2 linked regions of the Caenorhabditis elegans genome follow. The protein of the gene in region 1 interacts with the protein of each later gene in a pairwise test. Each region holds a gene or a part of one and is shown on either strand. Other genes may lie near its edges.

Region 1 (3,552 bases):
CTAAAGAAAATCGGCCAAATTCTGAAATTTCAGGGCAAAAATCAATAATTTTCCGAGAAAATCGTGCATTTCAGTGTAAAACAGTCAGAATTGTCTCCAAAATTCGGGAATTAACGAATTTTGCACGTTTCCCATCGAATTTTCTCAATTTTGACGCTTCAAAACTCGAGTTGGCCTGAAAAATGGGAAATTATAGATAATTTTTGGGGCAAAATACGCAAAAAAACACACAAAATAAGGGAAGATTTGGGTCTGCTAATTACTTAATTACTTAGCAGACCCATATTGATTTTTTAATCGGATTTCGCAATATTTTCCCCATTTTTCCGCGAATTTTCTGAATTTTCCACGCTGCTACCTTGAAAACTGCTGGCTTCTCCATGTATTGCTTGGCGACGACGGCATCTTGAGGATCCTTGGGCTCCGGTGTGCACATCAACGCCTGAATCGACAGGAGAACCGTGCGAAGAGTCAGCGAAGCGGCCCTGAAGTTGAAAATAAATTAAATTTTCCGATTTTAAAATAATAATCGCAATATTACCATTGATCCTTAAGAATATCGAGGCAAATGACGCCGGTCTGCGAGCTGACATTCGGGTGCCAGATTTTTGTGCTGAACTTGACCTGAAAAACCGCGATTTTTACACAAATTTCGACAATTTTCAAGCTTTCCAGGCAGAAAAACTCGTACATTTGGTGGCGAGAATGGATATTGGTCTGGAATCTTAATATCCAAATCGAACATTCCACCGGCGTATGGAGTGTCTGGTGGACCGCGGATGTGTCCCTGAAAACCGATAAAAATTGAGATTTCCGACACACAATTCGCGGCGTTTTACCTTGATTTCGGTGAGATTCTCGTTCAATATCTCGATCATAATTCCGGTTTCGCTGATTTCCGAGTTTGTGACGACCTCTTTGCATTCTCGTTGGAGTCTGTTGAATGCTATGTTCGACATGGTCTGAAAACGATGGAAAATAGTGGAAAAACTCTGAAAAATCGACGAAAATCATGAAGTTCAAGGAATTATCGAAAAAGCTTCGAGAAAGTCTGAAATTATCATCAAAATTATTCAAACACCAACTCATGATAAACAGGGCGCGCCGCGGAATTTCGGAGCATCGTTTGCAACTGAAATTTTTGTTTTTCCCCGAATTTCATCGATTTTTCATCGTTTTTCGTGAATAAAAATCAAAAATCATGTAGAAAAATGTTGAAAAACCAATTTTTATGCGAAAAATTGCTTAAATCACAGTAAAATTGAACAAAAACCCGGAAAAACCGGAGAAAACCGTGCGTTAAGTCGGAGCATCGTTGTCGCCGAGAAAAAACGGGTTCAAACGATCAAACCCGTGATCGGAAGTATCGATTCACAGATTGATTAAGTTTTTATAGGAATTTTAGTTTTTGCATCATGATTTTTCTCAAAAAAGAAAATTGAACGTTTTTGCCGAAATACTTCTAATTTTCTCAAGGTTTAGAGGGAATTTCCATTTGTTTATTGAGAAACCCGTTCAGAAAATATCTAGAATTGATTGAAATCTTCAAAAAAAATCTTGCCAGGGAACAATTAGGTCTGCTAATTAATCAGCAGACCCAAATTTCAAAAATCCGCGTTTTTCTTCGTTTTTTTCCCAATTACTCTACTGAAATTCTCTGTTTTTCAGCCCAAAAATGTCTCGAAGCCGTTCCGCAGCTGCCAGCTCCTCTCAAAAGCCGGACGATATGGACCTAATGTCGCCGGACGGCTCGGCGAGCTCCCCATCGGCCCCAAACACGCCAGCGACGAATTCCGGCGGATTTAGCTCGGATAGAAAGAAGGCGACGCACTTGAGGTGTGAACGGCAGCGAAGAGAAGCTATAAATGTTTGTTGAAGCTTGGAAATTCGTGGAAAAAAGCTAAAATTTCAACTTTTCAGAGCGGATACAGTGATTTAAAGGATTTAATTCCTCAGACAACGACTTCGCTGGGATGTAAAACTACAAACGCCGCGATTTTATTCAGGTACTGGCTGAAAATACTGAAAAATTGAAGGAAAAATAACTGGAAAACATAAAAATTTGGGTCTGCTAAATATTTAGCAGACCATAGTTGGGTCTGCTAAATAATTAGCAGACCATACTTGGGTCTGCTAAATAATTAGCAGACCATAGTTGGGTCTGCTAAATAATTAGCAGACCAACGTGGATTTAGCATACCCAAATTGCGAAATTATCGAATTTTGATGACAATTTCAAGTTTTTTACATTAAAAAGCACGATTTTTTTCAAGAATTTCGTGTTTTTCAGCGGGAAAAATCACAATTCCAGTCTGCTAAGCCCATTTTTTGCTTAAAAACCTTCAAAATTCTGCAAATTTCCCCGAAAATTCAATAATTTCCAGAGCCTGCGACTTCATGTCCCAACTGAAAACCGACATCTCCGACGCCGACAAGCAACTGGCCCAGCTCAACGCACAAGCGGCCGCACTGGAAATGATTGCCTCAGAGTACGAGCAGATGGCTTCTTCGGTTCCTGACGCCGGCCAGTCCACGATTCAAGTCAAAATGGTTAGAATTTACTGAAATTTCCAGATTTTTAAGTCGAAATTCTCCAACTTTCAGCTCCAACTTCTCCTCGACGACTGCTTCACCTCGTTCTCCTCCCAAGTGGACTTCACCACGTACGCAACGATCACCAGAACGCTCCTGTCGTGGGTGGAGAGCCTGGCGCCAAATGCGGAGCCATTCAAGTCGACAGCCGGAAAAATGGTCACAATGCCCTTCACTTCGCCATAGTATTGAGAAGAATTTCCAGATTTTTAATCAACAAATGTATTATTCAACGCGTAAAAATGAAATTTAACAACAAAAAAGAAAATAGTTTGGAACATAAAATTAACTTTTGGTAGTTAATTGAAGAACTCGATCCAGAAGCTTCTGAGTAACTTCAGTGGACATTTCTGTGAACAAGTCAGAGGTTCTAACTTGTCTGGCCTTCTCTGTAGTCTCAATGGTTGAAATCGCGTGGTTCATGAGTTTCTCCAATTGAAATTTGTCAGCCAACCAAATCTTTGTTACATGATCGATTTCCGTGGATTTGAGAAGATGATTCTCTACGGAACTCGTAACGAACGGAACCATGAAACGATCAGCCAATTCCAGAAGTTTCTTGGCATTACTGTCCGTCGGGAAGTCATTTCCCGGGTGAATAATGGCTAAGAAAGCCTTCATATCGTCTGCCGAAACATCACTGATCTTGAATTCATTCTTCTGCTTCTCCTCACTTTCAAACTCAAACAACCCGCGGAAGAACTCGGAATGATACGAGAGGAACTGTAAAAAAATCACTTATTGAAGAAAATCAAATTATTTTATTCAGCTTACAGCTTTATTAACATGAAGCTTCGTATCTTCAACTAGAAGAATTGCATCAGAATTTTCGGATTTTGTCAAAAATTGAGATTTAATAAGAGTCAAATTGAGCTTGACGTAGTTATTGATGTGGCCGGGGATGTAATGTACAGATATGAGCTCATTCAATTCTTACGCCATAACGTCAATTTTTCTGCC
Region 2 (6,958 bases), 7.2 Mb from region 1:
CTATGATGTTTAAATAACTAAATATCATAATACAAACTTTTAGAAACGTTTTGGACATTTTTTTTTATTTCGAGTCAAAACTTTTGAAATTGAAATGTAGACTCCAATTTTTTACGCTTTATGGTGTACTGTAGTTCCTAGATCCACATTGTTTCAAAATTTTCTTGGATTTTATGTTGCCACAACATTTTTGCACCTTTCATTATTCTTAAGTTCAGATTTTCCAAAAAAGGTGCGAAGAAACGAAAAAAAAACTATAAAAAATGAAGAAAACCAATGCAGCAAAGAGCTAGAAACTACAGTAATCTTCAGACACTTATTTGTATTTTGAAAAACGTTCATTAATTTTTTTAAAAATAAATTTAGTAAAGTTCTAATTAATTTTTACTTTTTAAAGGAAGAAGGTTGTTTCGAATCAACTTTTTTCGTGATTTTTTTTTGTAAATTTCCTTTCTATTGCTACAAAATTTTTTCTTCGGTATTATTCGATGTGTTTGAAAATGAAGACCGTCGAGAGTGATAAATTTAAAATGTATAATTCTTTCTTTTTAAAATTACCAGAAGAGGTAGAGACAATGTACATTTAATACATGAGAAATTGAGCAAACTGTAATATAAAGGTAACCCGAACATATAAACGAGGGCTGTTTCTGTGGTGGCTGCTAGTGGGAAAAAAACCCGTGATTGAATCTAAATGATTAGAATCCTGGATAAAAAGTTATGGCAACATGAAAGGGACTGAGATATTTCAAAAAATCTAAACAAATCTACGCAGAAAAATCGTATGTTAAAAACAATAAACATGATTCTATAATGAGCAGTTCAAAATGGATTTTTGAGTTGTTGCATGACATAATCGGGAAGAGTGTCCGGCTCGGCGAGAATGCTCGAGTTGGTTGCAAGAGAGACCTGAAATTTATAAATTGATTATTAATGAGTATCTATATTATATTTACCAAAAGTGTACTCGCAAGCGGCCGAAGTTCTGTGGCTTTCCAATTTTTGTTCAGCCAATCAGAACACGAGGCGGCTACTTCATTTCTTGACGACGAGTCTCCTGCTACAGACGATGCGAAAGAGTTTGTTTGTGTGACACAGATTGGTTTCAGCATTTGGGACATCTATTATGAAGTTGTATTAATTTGTCTCAATAGTAATTCAAAATTTTTGCGGTTGCTTTGTCAAAAATACGGGCCTCGACGTGATAAATTCTTTTTTAGTGCCAAAAGGATGTGCACCTTGGTGGAGAAATATTTCGATTTTTCAGCAATAGATTTTAAAAAAATTTCAACTTTTCTGCTAGATAACTTACCACCCAAAATCTCCAATTCTTTTTCGCGCCTTCTTTGACATATCTATCGAAAAATGTTTCCAGTGAAGTTTTCGAGTCCACCTGTGATGAACTGGATGGTGCACTCGATTGGGGAAGATTTGATTGTAAGGATCTGAATTGATACAGTTTTAAAATATTTCAACAAAAAACTATCTTACGTTATTTTCTGATTCAGTTTTTCGATTTTCGCTTTGGCCTCGTCGATCTTCTGTGTTTTATCCCATTTTTCGGCCTGCAATCTTCGAATATGATCCGCTGACTTGGCTAGAACGACAGCATTCGTTGGCTTAACACCGCCAGAATACAAATCGGGTATCTGGAAAAAAAATAAAATTTTGAATTGGAGATTTCATGAGAAAAACCAAAACTTACAATATCCATAAGCTGGTCGAATCCATCTTTCAGTGCACTTCTTCGGTTTTGCTCAGCGTGTAAATGCAATATTCTTTTGCGTTCTTCTGGGTGCAATGTGGAATCTGGAGCTTGTCGTCGCATTGATTTGACACTTGATGGTGCACTCATCAACAGTGGTTCTTCTTTTGTTACTTCCTTCAATTCGGTGGGTGTGGTTGGTAAGTCTGAAATTTACTTAATTTAAACTCAGTTGGAGATAACATAACTTTGGTGAAGAAACATTAAAAAATATGCTTACAATGCCTTCCGGATTTCTCCTCGACCTTCACAGCCATTTTTCCATTGAGTAGATTGACATCACAAGACTGCTGCCTGTTCACTAATGGCGCCATCGCTGCTTCTTGCTCTTTTCGTTTTGACGACGCCGACGGTGGTGTGATGATCTTCGGTGGATGCTGTGAAGCTTGTACTGGAACTGACGCGGGACCACTAATATCTCCAGATGTTGAAGGACTTTCTAATATTGACGGCTTCGTGGTAACCGACGCAGCAAAAGCTTGATAAGTAGGCGATCCTTCTACTATATGACTCATTTTCCATGATTCATTGAGAGATGATGTGCGTAAGCGAGAAAGGCTAGAAATATCCAGAGGAGATGGTGTTGGTGTATTCTGTGATGTTAATGAAGTGAATATTCTTTCAGGTTTATTCTCGACATTTCCAAAAATTGTTGAAGTTCGACTAATTGGAGGTTGTTCTAATCTTTGTGATAAAGTTGGAACACCACTGGTAGTCCCACTCATTTTAAATCCACCCGGTGTATTATTTCCACCGAATAAAAAACCGTTGTCCGCACTCCCAATAAGCTGACCCAATGGAGTCTGCGGTCCCGTTTGATTGGCAAGAGGCAATGGTGTTGCTACTGATAATGGTGATTGAACACTTGCAGTCAACGGACTATCCAGCCACCATGATCTCGATGGAGCCATCATTGGATCATGAGATTGGGGTTGTGGAGTAGGTTGAGTGGATTGAAGAAATTGAGGAAGATATGGATCATTTTGAGTCGGCAGCAAATTAGATCTGGATGGAGGCGGAACAAGTGGTGGTTGATTATTCAGAATTCGTTCGACGTGGGATTGATGTGGTAGGGAAACCTGAAGTTATTGAATTTCGAGAAACTGTCTAAATGTTCATGCATTTTTCAAACTAACCAAGAAGTTACTTTGTTGTTGCTTATTCCAAGGTGAATGCTGACTCGTATGGCCCAAATGATGTTGGTTTGTCATTGTATTTCGAATTGGGAGAAATGAGTTATTCGTGCTATAGTGTGTTGATGTGGCATACTGTGGTTGTGAAGACAATGTCGATGCGGATTGACTGAGCATAAGCATTTGTGAAGTAATTGCAGATGATTGTCGTGTCGGCATTAATCGATAGTCCATCATAATCGACGAAGCCATAAACTCATGTGGACGAGCCGCAACAGGTTGTTGAATTTGAATTTGATGTTGCAGTTGTTGAGATGGTTGAGATATTTGAGATATGGATTGAGCCTGAGCCTGAGCAACTTGCATTTGATGCAAAGACGCCGAAGATGAAGCAGATCTTCTCATTTGAGGAATTTGTTGTGCTGATATTGATGGCTGATCATTCGTCGGAGTTCTCATTGTGTCCCGATCATTGTGGAATGGCGGAGAATCTGGCATATCGTCGCCTAATGACATCATGATATCCTCGATTGTTGGCTGTAGTGGGAGGAGTCCTGGCTGCATGATATCAGCGTTATTTCCACTATCTGAAACAAGTTTTTGACGATTAGACATATAAAGCATGAAGTATTTATAAAGATTAATAGATTTACTGAAAATATTTTAACACATATTTTGTTCCATCAAATGAAATAGTTTCTAAACTGCTACAAAATTCAAATAAAACTAACATAATATGTTTAGTTTCTTTCATAATCAAAAGTTAAAAATAAAATAAAAAACTCACAAACATCTCTTGGATCCGGAAACATGTAAGGTTCACTCAGAGAATTTAGAAAATCATCAGTGAAAACATTATCCAAGTCATCAAAATCCCATGCAAATTCATCAGAAATCGTGTGTTTTGGCGTCTGACTTCTTTGAAGTTTTACAGGTGGCTCATAGCTTCGCAACTTGCTTTCAATTGTTTCTTTTGGAACGGTGTGTTTCTTTAAAAAAATGTCTTCGATATTTATTAAAATTTTGTTTCTAATTTTTTGTTTCGATTTCGTCTGTTTTCGGATGTTTCTTGTCGCTTTTTCCTTTTTTCATTTAAATATTTCGAAGTTTAAATTAATTTTTCAAATATAAAAAAAAGAAATTACAGAAAATAGAAGATTATTGTGTGGAATTTCTTCAAAGTGGAACTAATTTTTTATAAAATGCAGTGATTTTTTTTTTGAAAAAATGAACACGAAAAAATTGTTTTTTTTTCGATTGTATAAAACCAAATATCTGCCGACGCTACTAGAAACAGACGATTATGCAGCAACAAGAGTTTGAAATTACAGTACTCTTTGAAGGCACACACCTTAATGTATTAAACAAGAATTTGTCGTGTCGAGACCATGTACCGTAGTTTTGACGCAAAACTCGAAAGGTTTCGCGTCTGGGTAATCTTCCACTTTCATTTGGTGTATAAAAAAGCTTCGAGAAAAATCATACCCTTTTCCGTTTCAATTCTCCCGTCATACTGCTGACGCTTGTCGAAGAGCACGTCGCCACCATTCCTCCCTTATCCGTGACCAAATTATGTTTCGAACGAATTCTCCATCGTTTATATTGTGCACACACACCTTCCATTTTTCTTTTCCAATACATTCCTTCGACAATCGATCCCTCGATTTTTTGATGTGTTGTGTCATCGTCGGGTACGGCAAAGTAGCAGAATGGTTTTTTCGGCTTTTCTGGCTGCTTTTTTCGAACTGTAAGACAAGATTTTGAACAATAGCTGATAAAATTAAAGAGGGAACTTACATTCAATATAATATGCTCTCCAAATAACATTATTCAATCGTACCCTCTGCTTCCAATGAAGACGTAATCCTTTGAAATCCTTCCATTTTGGAGTTGTCATTTTGCTACAAACTAACAATGCCATCAATTTTTATTGAAGATAAACTTACTTATAAGCAACTTTGATACATTTGTTCAACTTATTCAGTGATACATCAATCGCGATCGACTGTGTTTTACCAACTCCAAACTTGTAAAACGTCACCGGTTTCTCGTCGAGAGCCTTATTTTTATGATGAACTGATGATGATGCTTCCATTGATTTATCATCATCTTCAACTACATCCACTTCAACATCTTCTTCATCTTCATCTTGTACTAGATCGTCGTGGGGATTCGAACACATAAAGTGCCCACTGTGTATAATCTGCCCGCGCGACATTTTTGTCTGAAAATATTGAAATCTTTTGAAAAGTAGAAACAGTGAAATGAAGAATTATAGAGGATGAAAGTAAATTTACTAGGTAACAATGTACAATTGATTATTTGGAATTACAATTCATCCAATCACGAACAAAAATCCCATATTGCCAAATTTTCAGAATTATGTGCTTCAAGGTGTGAGCTCAACTAAAATCTACACATTTTCGTAAACTTTGCAAAAACTTATAGCTTGGCCCTGAGGAACTTTTTTAGGAAAAAAGGAAGTGGAGAAATGTGGGAAAATTGTGTGTGAGAGCGATGACAATAAGCAAGGAAGAAACGACGAAGGACGGACGGACGGGGAGAGCGATGGAGGATCAGTTGTTACAACACGTGACCGACTAAAAGAGTGTCTAGGTCTCTTGTTGTTGAATTATTTTTTTTGTGCATTGTTTTGGAAAACCGCTGCAAAAGGCGTTAAAGATAGGTTCACTATTTATGGAATTGCAAAATTTTATTTAAGATATTAGAAAGCTATTTCAGAAGTTTTTTTTACAGGTGCGAAAATTAAAACAGATAGGGTGCATTTCATTAAGTCGAGTTTATTTATTTATTTATTTTAAATATGGAAAAATATTTTTGAAACTTGTCCCCGCAAAAAGTTTTGACACTGGTCAGTTCAGTTAAACAAAATTATGCGTTTTGGCAAAACTACTTAGAGTACGATAATCCGATTTGAATTCAACTTTGTACGACCTAGATAGTATTGAACAGTTTGTGGGTGTGACAGGGACAAAAGTCAATCGATACAGGGTTTCAGAGAACCAACATCGGAGAGGATGGGGGACGAAAAAGATAGGAAAAATCATATATCGAATCGTCGACCAGCGACAGTCACAACGATATACAGTGTTGGTGTGAAATAGGGGGAGAAAACGAGACATATTTGTGAAAAGAAAACGACGAAACGGAGGGAGAATGGATGGAAGAATACGATTGATAACACAAACAGAATGGCCATTATCTGATAATAATGATAACAAGCAGCGGGGGTCGCTCCCGGGAGGACGTATATTTTCACAGATTTCATGACTATTTTGTTTTACATCAAAACAATTATAGTTTCAGTTTGCAATTTTTCTCAACAAAAATAGACAGTAGGTTGTATTAATAAGAACCATGATTCTCTCAACTACGTAAAACTATCTTGATTCGCACCTGCACAACCAGTACATTATATCGTACGCGCATTATATACCGTACCTGGCAGGCAATCAGACAATTTTGACAATTCGATAATATATCCGAAATAATTGGAATATTTTATAGAAACAACTCAAAAAAAGAACAAAAAACTAATTTCTAATGTAGCAAATGTTTTTTTGGTAAAAAAATATTACGTTCGGCACTTGCCGAATTTCCGGAACCTAGTCATATTAACAAACAGAAAATCATAATTCAGAAGTAAAAAGAAAATTAGAAAAGGGTTCTGAAACTTAGAAATAAATAAACGTTAACCTATGCCCCTAATATGTTAGAGTTGTGCGTGTGTGTGTGTGTGTGTGAGCGTATATTGGGTAAGTGTGTGTGTGTGTGGTCGAGTGCATCCAAAAAACGAGAGATGCATCGACTCAGGAGACTGGAGCAACAGAGACATCATCTTGAACATGAAAGACGCAGGCACAATGAAATACGCTCAGCTCTCTGTTTCAATTTGCCGCACAATACTTCCACGAATATTGACACATACACATGCCCTCGCGCGTTTTCAATCAGCCACTATTTTAACATCAACGAAACTCTCCAGTATACAGAATACAGAATACACCAACAACACAAAATTATAGCCACGTGGTTTCCC

Evidence for each region.
Region 2: the proteins of mxl-2 (region 1) and mml-1 interact in binary tests that used the Caenorhabditis elegans proteins (3 or more experiments, as listed by UniProt).

Annotation. Positions count from the first base shown.
Region 1 is NC_003281.10:186,248-189,799, reverse strand, and holds mxl-2 (Max-like protein homolog 2), read left to right. Parts: upstream 1-1,668; 5' UTR 1,669-1,675; coding exon 1,676-1,867; intron 1,868-1,920; coding exon 1,921-2,006; intron 2,007-2,384; coding exon 2,385-2,550; intron 2,551-2,604; coding exon 2,605-2,778; 3' UTR 2,779-2,851; downstream 2,852-3,552. Other genes in the region: ubc-20 (UBC core domain-containing protein), read right to left, coding at 359-485, 542-624, 692-787, 840-959. UniProt on the Caenorhabditis elegans protein: Transcription factor. Binds to the E box motif 5'-CACGTG-3', probably in a heterodimeric complex with mml-1.
Region 2 is NC_003281.10:7,369,610-7,376,567, forward strand, and holds mml-1 (Protein WBSCR14 homolog), read right to left. Parts: upstream 5,123-6,958; 5' UTR 5,117-5,122; coding exon 4,845-5,116; intron 4,800-4,844; coding exon 4,696-4,799; exon of another isoform or gene 4,644-4,695; coding exon 4,384-4,643; intron 3,888-4,383; coding exon 3,686-3,887; intron 3,486-3,685; coding exon 2,902-3,485; intron 2,845-2,901; coding exon 1,986-2,844; intron 1,912-1,985; coding exon 1,706-1,911; intron 1,650-1,705; coding exon 1,492-1,649; intron 1,446-1,491; coding exon 1,313-1,445; coding exon of another isoform or gene 1,277-1,312; exon of another isoform or gene 1,122-1,276; coding exon 957-1,121; exon of another isoform or gene 910-956; coding exon 823-909; 3' UTR 522-822; downstream 1-521. UniProt on the Caenorhabditis elegans protein: Transcription factor that binds to the E box motif 5'-CACGTG-3', probably in a heterodimeric complex with mxl-2.